Oreochromis niloticus: one gene and its partner. The protein of the gene in region 2 purifies or fractionates together with the protein of the main gene of each other region. This does not show direct contact. Links are inferred from orthologs where the notes say so. Each region holds a gene or a part of one and is shown on either strand. Other genes may lie near its edges.

Evidence for each region.
Region 1: the proteins of dtx3 (region 2) and rnf114 purify together in Homo sapiens (affinity purification with mass spectrometry; 3 studies listed by BioGRID and IntAct, counting the BioPlex papers as one, with this or other methods). This does not show direct contact. The link is inferred for Oreochromis niloticus from reciprocal best matches to the Homo sapiens genes DTX3 and RNF114.

Annotation. Positions count from the first base shown.
Region 1 is NC_031984.2:16,331,143-16,335,064, reverse strand, and holds the start of rnf114 (E3 ubiquitin-protein ligase RNF114), read right to left. Parts: upstream 2,810-3,922; 5' UTR 2,738-2,809; coding exon 2,601-2,737; intron 1,997-2,600; coding exon 1,846-1,996; intron 1,630-1,845; coding exon 1,523-1,629; intron 231-1,522; coding exon 116-230; intron 1-115. UniProt on the Homo sapiens protein: E3 ubiquitin-protein ligase that promotes the ubiquitination of various substrates. In turn, participates in the regulation of many biological processes including cell cycle, apoptosis, osteoclastogenesis as well as innate or adaptive immunity.
Region 2 is NC_031984.2:20,417,455-20,421,376, forward strand, and holds the start of dtx3 (putative E3 ubiquitin-protein ligase DTX3), read right to left. Parts: upstream 2,648-3,922; 5' UTR 2,180-2,647; intron 1,957-2,179; 5' UTR 1,929-1,956; coding exon 1,916-1,928; intron 1,444-1,915; coding exon 641-1,443; intron 1-640. UniProt on the Homo sapiens protein: Regulator of Notch signaling, a signaling pathway involved in cell-cell communications that regulates a broad spectrum of cell-fate determinations.

The DNA of each region.
Region 1 (3,922 bases), about 4.1 Mb from region 2:
ACATGAAGGTAATAAAACGATCTTTGAAACACATTATTAACCCAGCTGAAGCCAGTAAGTGTGTGGAAACTCAGTATGACTCAGAATTATGACAGAGTAGACTTTTTTTTTTTACCACTTGGCGTGCATCTCGAGCATGTTGGGAAGTGCAATGTTCAACCAGGCCGTCCTGGTCGAGGTTCTGGCAGTTACAGTAGGGGCAGGTGAAGGTGTAGCGATTTGGCACTGAACTGTGGCAGAAGAGAAACAATAAAATGTCACAAGGTTTGGTTCTCAACTACATGAATATTGCACTTGAAGTGCAACAGGCATCAGCTTATGAAGAAATAATTTACCACAGTTAGTGGCCAATCTTTATCTTTTGTCACATCAACTTTTCACCAGCTGAAAGAGCTTGAGAAAGGCTTAAAAGTGACAGTTATTCTTTTTTCTTTTTTATAACAGGAATCCGTTTCCTGGCACAAACATCTGGAGGGTTAAATAACAAAATAAATAAATACCAGGATCGGTTTCTTACTTTAAACAGTGTTGGCCCAACATGCCACAATGTGTGGATTCTTTGTTTTAAAGGCTGCTGTTTGGGTGGAAAAAAACAAAACAAAAACCCCCCACTAAAGACTACTTCCTGATTAGTCATAATAACCTCATTACAAGCGACGGCTTCTCAAACCATCTTCTCGGAACTTTCTCCAGGAAGTACAGCTGTCATAAATACTTAACATCCAAATATGATAAAAACCAGATCCACTTCATACAACTTGACAATAACAGTGTTTTATGTTTTCTAAAGATAAAAGTTGTACTGTTTTCTATACACTCTGGAAAAATCATGATTGGAAATTACAACAGGTAAAATACAGAATACTTAGCATAAGCTTGATCACACTTTATAATACTATTTTACTTGCAATCAGATTGTGTTTAATTTGAAATCCTATTTGTGCTAAAACTTCCATTTACTTTTTTTAACTTTAAGTGTAAAATGTATACACTACATATAGTTCACATGACAGATTGACCGCAAAAACAGAGCATTTCATTTTTGACTGACATGTTAGGCATGTCAGTGAAACAAGGCAGTAATGGAGCCACGACTTTGGAGTCTTATCAAACAACAATGTACTGCCAAGAGTTTATAATACTATAAACAGGGAATTTTATATCACAAGAAGATATTATTCCATCATTTGTCACAACAGGTCAACTGTTTAAATTTGGCACTTAAGTTACAGTGAAATCTATCATAAATCTATCATTGCATACATTTGATTGGGCCAACAGAACTCCATTTCCTATGTACAGTACTCTCTGCTCTGTGAATGAAGCCCTCTCACTGACTCTACTGACAGGGCTGCACTCATTTCCTTTTTCACTTTGGATTGGTGTTAGTCCAAAGGTGACCTTTAATTTATACAACCCAACAAGCAGCAGTGATTGCACGCAAAGTCTGACTCTACAGTGTAAACCATTTTGCTTTTCTTATGTAGGGAATAGCAAATAATTGTTCTGCTTCTTTCCCCACCTGACGATGGCAGGCTGGCTCTGGGCAGTTGTCCTGACTCCCTCCTCAATGTACTCCTGGTATTTTGAACAGGCAGCTGTGTGGCTTCTCATCTTAGAAAGCCCAACCTAATTGGGGGAGGAGTGACACATATCAGTAACTTCCAGTATATGACCATCATCATAAAATTGTTGCTATTATCTAAATATAAAGACAGAAATTTAGACACAGCAAAATATTAAGATTATGCATGTGCAGTTATTGAATATTCACCCTCTGTGACTGCTTCATAAATGTGAGTCAGTTCAGCAATATTTTAGCTTTTGGACTTTAGTGAAACATACCTGTGTGCCACATCCCTTACAGGCTGCCACAGAAGATTGAATGAGTGCCTCGAGTTGAGCAGCTCTAGTCCAGTGGCCTGGAGCGCCTCGACATACAGCACACACAGGTTTCTGTGGACGCAGACATTCCTGCAAACAACTGTGGCAAAACCTGTCAAGAGATGGGTGAAATAATGTGACTGCTGCACAAGATAAATCAACTAAATTGTCACTTTTAATTTGGGCTCTGGTAACCTGAGGCTTTAAAAAAAAAATTATTAAAAAACAAGACAAAAACATGCAGCAACTCTGTTTACATTAACGCATGGCCTGCAATGAGAAAAAAACCCCAAATGCTGTCACTAAAACAAACCTTTATTATGCTAGTGACTGGACCTTCCTGTAACTCATATGGAAAGTCCCCCACCTCGAGAATAGCCAGGGACTTGTAGTTCTTTAAAGTGGTTTGAAGAGTTAGAGCAATACACATCCAAACTACAACTCCCAAGTGAGGCCTCCTTTTTGATGTAAACAAAACTGAAACTGATTTAGCAAGCTGGAACTGTTTTTGTCACATATTCGAGAGAGAAAAATAGAAAAAACGGGGTCGTAGCACTAGAAGACACTCGCGAGGCCGATATTTTGCAACTCTGGTGCGACGACATATTTAAAGTGAAGCCCTTTCCTCCATTGTTTTTGCCTCTTTTCACTGCATCGTTGGTGGCAGACGAGGGTTAGGGGGAGGGCGATGGAAAATAAACGGCAAAAATACTCACGTATGTCCACACTGTGTTGTCACGGGACTGTCGAATATTTCGAGGCAAACTGGACAGACGAATTCGGACACGTCGTTGCTCCCGTCCGAGGCGTTCTTCTTGTGAGGTGCTGCGCTAAAGCCTCCGAGCATCGCCATTTCTTTTCTTCACTGAGTCGGTTCCACCACCAGCACCAACCGTCCCCGTGACGACGTCATCGGGTTCTTGTTCTTTTTTAAGCGCGAGGGGGCGGGGTCACCGGCGAAAGTAAACATCGTAACACATAATTGTACGACATACTTACTAAATCTGTGACACCCCCCCCTCCCACTAGATATCGAAACCCCCCAGAGACATTCAAAATATTACAATATATAGTTATTCAAATAAATCTGAATTATTCGGGCACTAATACAACGAAAAAGCAGGAAATCCACACCACTAAATGTATACCTTCGGCAAATCATTATGAACCCGGGAAATCTGTCTCTGCGCGCACGCGAGCCTATATGTATATATATATTTTTTTACCCATGCAAAACAAAAACAAAAATGAATGAAGACTGGGGATGATGTATTTGGGGGTCTGTATCCCGTCTTCCCTAGCACGTGGGCTCCTGATGCTGATGAACTGTCAGGATTGAGCGCATGCGTGTTGTTATACTGGGAATTTCCAACAGCTGAGGAGGCGTAGCTAGCCATGACTAGCACTTGTTAAAGGTAAGATTTGCGAATGCTGTTATTTTTGTTTGAACAAACGTCTTGATCTCCTAGTGGGAGCCCATTAACATTTGATCCCAAAAGAACATCACCTTAAAAATTCGCTGTGTCTTGTTATTTTATTTTAAACTGGCGAATAATGTCTGTGTAGCGATGGAACGCCCTGCTAACCAAAAGCAATTGTTAGCTAGCCAGCTACGCTGAAATGGGCGTTCACTGTTTAGCTTCTACTCAGTAGGGAGGCCATAGCAGTGGCAGCATCGGGTTTGAGAGTCATGAAGAATTAATGTATACGTTCTAGGAGTATTACTTTATATTGCCATTGGTCACGGTGGACTAAATTTGTTGTAGTAGATACGCAGTTGTAAAGCATGCGTCTGGCTAAGGCTCATTGGTTGCTAGCTCGTTGAGCGGATGTTCGCAGAGATTTTCAGGTAACAGGTATAGCCAGCCAGCCAGCTTGCAAGAATCTGAGAGCGAAATGTTTGCTCTCCTGTTGTTCAAGCCTCGTACTATTTTCACGATGTGTTTATGAGTTTTGAGTTGAAGCTAAGCTAGGCTAGGTTAGCGCCACTCTGGTTTACACGCATGTAGTACCAATAGCTGAAACGTTCACTGGCGCA
Region 2 (3,922 bases):
TCTTGAACCTTAATTTTGATAAGAGATAAGGCACCTGTGACACATTCTACCCCTTCTACTTGGCGTCTGTTTCCTGGGAAGGGAAACTCCACAAAAGGTTTATTTTTTCAGGGGAATTCCGACATTGACACCTGTTTAAAAAACAGTGTGGAAACCAACTTTCGTTGTCAACAGATGTTTTCTCAGCTTAAGTTTGACGTTTAAACAGTAAGACACAGAAAAGCTGAATACAATCTAGCGTGACAGGGTTTGGAGAGATTATGACCCTTATTTTGTAGATTATTGTGTGTCCTTAGAATAACCTTTTAAGGTTAATGAACTTCCCTCTGGAAACTGTAAATTTGTGGCTACATTAAAGGTCAAAGTCAAACAGCAAGGCATCAGTCATGACAGAAAGAGTAAATATACGTGGTCAAACTGAGGAGAGAGACTGTCATCATATGTGCAGTATGATTTATTTTATGCCAAAGTAAGACTCTCTTACATAAATACACTCCTATTCTTAATTATTCACTGGAATTCTAATGATTAACAATGTTTAACAATCTGAATTATAAATCCAACAAATTTCTTTACACACACAAAAACGATTACTAAAACTTTTTCCCCTGTGTTGCATCTACTGTCCTCGTCTACTCACCGACTGTAAGCCAGGAGGGAAGCTGTAGATGATGCAGATACACCCATAGCCTTCATGGCCAGGAAGCTCCAGATCAGGATCTCGTTCTACAATCATTGAGCCATTGGCAGGCTGATTCCCAATCAGCTGCCCATACACGAGCCGACAGACGGGACACGCTTTCTTCACTTTAAAGGCTTGATCCAGGCAAGAGCGACAGAAAGAATGGCCACATTTTTCCAGGGTAGTCTTCTCCACTATGTCCCCCATGCAGATCGAGCAAGTATTACTGTCCTCGGTTTCACCGTGGGAAGCCATGCCGGAGTCCACGTCTTTCCTCTGGGCAGCCTCGTGGAGCATGACGCACGCCTCCTCGTCAACAGGCTTCTTGAACCTCTGCTGCTGTCTCTGGGAGCGCCGAGGCTGGGGAGGTGGAGGCTGGAGCAGGCTCCCCTCTCCGTTCTGCTCCAGGACTCCCACACAGGGCAGCAGAGCCCTCTTCCTCTTGGATCCCCCCTCCTGTTTGCTCATTTCTTTGCGGGCACAACGGCATAAGTCAATGAAAGCTTTTCGCGTCTCGCTGGAGATGGGTCCATCCATCACACCAGCCCCAACGCTCCTCGAGCCTTCCACCGGCTGCAGCCGAACAGCACAGCAGCCCCCCCTCTCTCCTCGCCTAATGATACCAGCACTCATCCCCTGCTTGTGCTGGAAGTCAATGAGCCAGGGCCGCCCAGCTGCAGTCAGGTAATCCCACACTGCCTGTGAAACCAGCACCTCATCACTGCCCTGGCCAGCACTCACACTCATCTCATCAGAGGAAACTGCACAGAGAGGCACATGAAAGTCATCAGTGTTTGAGCAGCAGAAGCAAGTTCAAACAAAAAGTGTTGCACCACGCTTTTTCATAAGCATTCATCTTTTAATGAGACACGGCCGCAGGAGTCTTTTCACCTGTGCTGTTTTGTGCTTTTCTATATAATTTAGGCGCTCAGGCACACGCACATAAAACCACCATAGCACTCGCTGTGTTTTGCCTGCAGTGTATCTGTGCATGACAAATTAATCTACGTCTATTTGCAGCGGCTGCAGCGCATCCAGAAAGAAACACATAAGAAGCAGCGTCGCGGCACTGCTGAGGACGTATCAGCTGTTCCCAAATTCAGACTGTAAACAAAGGAAACTTAATCCCGTCACACGCGCGACAACACGAGGGGAAAAAAGCCCACTGACAGCGGGGGCCACACGCAACAAAAACACTTGAGAGTGACACTTGTTTTGTGGTGAAAGGGTTACCTTGTGATCCCATAAATTCCTTCAATCGCGAATAAAGCTTCCTGTTGAACAGAGAAAGAGAGGAAGACAGACTGAAGCACTGGAATAAACGTAATCACAGCTGTTCGCCGATATTTACACTGAGCCATTCTCCACCGCGGCGGCAGCGATATCGCAACATTAGCTTAGCCTCGCACATATTTAGCTTGAACATTTAGCTAGCCTAAGTGTCTCCACCACCCTCACCACACCAACCCCTCCACCTCGATCATTTCGACACCTCACCCTTTGCCGTAGCTCGTCGCTGCCTGTCAGGGAGGTTTCTGGTTGGATTAAAGAGCACCGAGCTCCATCGGAGGAGGCCTGTGTTGTTATTATTTATTGTTGTTGTTATGTCTGACGTGCTGCTGCAGTTAAGCTAATCTTTTTGCAGTCAAGACATGATTCACATCTCTGAAGGATTTAAAACGGACGTTCCCCAAACCCTGCGCCTCCTCTTGTCAGTCACGCCTGTGTTTGCCTTCCTCATACGTCCTTGGCGTAACACAGAGTAAATAGCATCTGTAGTTGCTCTTCTTATCAGGCTCCGAGCACACTAGCCGTGTGACCGCCTTTTACAGTCAGATAATTTGTTTCTCCTCTTCATTCTGCCCGCCTGTGTGTGAGCTTTCTAATGTAACCGTGCCCTTTCTGTTGAGCGCGTGGCAGCAAACATTATTAAGGACCTACGAGAAAATGTGACCAGGAAGCTCGTCACTAAGCTGACATGATTGGCTGACAAATGGTGGTTGGTGTGTGTGTGTTTAATAATGTGATTCATTCTGTAATGTCATGATTATCAGCTTTTATGCTAACAGAAGAATACATGGAACATAACAGCTTCTATGTGATATTTTATTTATTAATGTCACAGTTTAGAATGTTCCATATCCTACAAATAACAATGCTGATATCTGTCTACTTATCTATCTAATCTAACTGGATATCTTATCCAGTTTAGGGTAGTAACACTGTTCACATATGCACCAGTAACAACATATTATTTGGAACATGGCCATCATTTACTATTCATCCTGTGGTTACTAAACCATGCAAAGGTCTTTAGCCATCCTTCATGTGTTTATATTTTTTATCTACGAAAATAAATGGCAAATAGATCATATTTATTAATGTGCTTATTAGAACAGCTATTTTATTACCAATATCAAAACATTAATTGTAATAAGGTTAATAATAAGGTTAATGTAATAAGGTTACACGTTTATCTTTTACTTGCCTGTGTTTATAATTTTTCTGAACAATAACCAAGATCTGAGATCAGGGTTGCATTAATGGGAAATGACAGTAATCCGCCATCATCTTGTCATGAATTAACTCTGTCCTTAATGAGGCAGCAACACGGAGCCTGTTAAAGGAATTATTAGCCCTTACAGAGAGGAAAAGATAAAGCACCTCTCTTCCCGCAGAGATGACTGAGGAGATACACAACATTAAACGTCTGTTCATTTTCATTACAACACTTTCTTGCCAATTTATCAGTTAAACAGCTATTGAGTCTATAGATATCAATCAGCATCTGTTCGTGGAACGGGAATATAAAACAACAGTTTCCTATTCACTGTGATAATAAAGGTTTCCTTTTAGACTAAATATGTCTTATAAAATACAGCACAGTATTATTAACTAATAAAAGTCAGCCCTTTGACATTTCTCTTATTCAATATAATTTTTACTTGTTTTTTTAAGCTAATTTGTATATTAGTTCTGTTTCTTGGTGTTCTATCTTTCTGATATAGATAACTCCATTGACTCAATTATAATCAAACAGATCACAAGTAACCTTCTAACTTTAAAGATTTTTCCTCTGTGTGACAGGAATGCATACGATCCTTGAGAAACTAGGACTGTTGTGGAGGCCTGCACTAAAAAGCTTGTAAAGAGATCAAATTAATATTGAGCAGAACTGAATTTAGCTTTTCGGCTCAGCCCTCTGCATCACTCTCAGTTTCTCATTAATTAATTCCCACC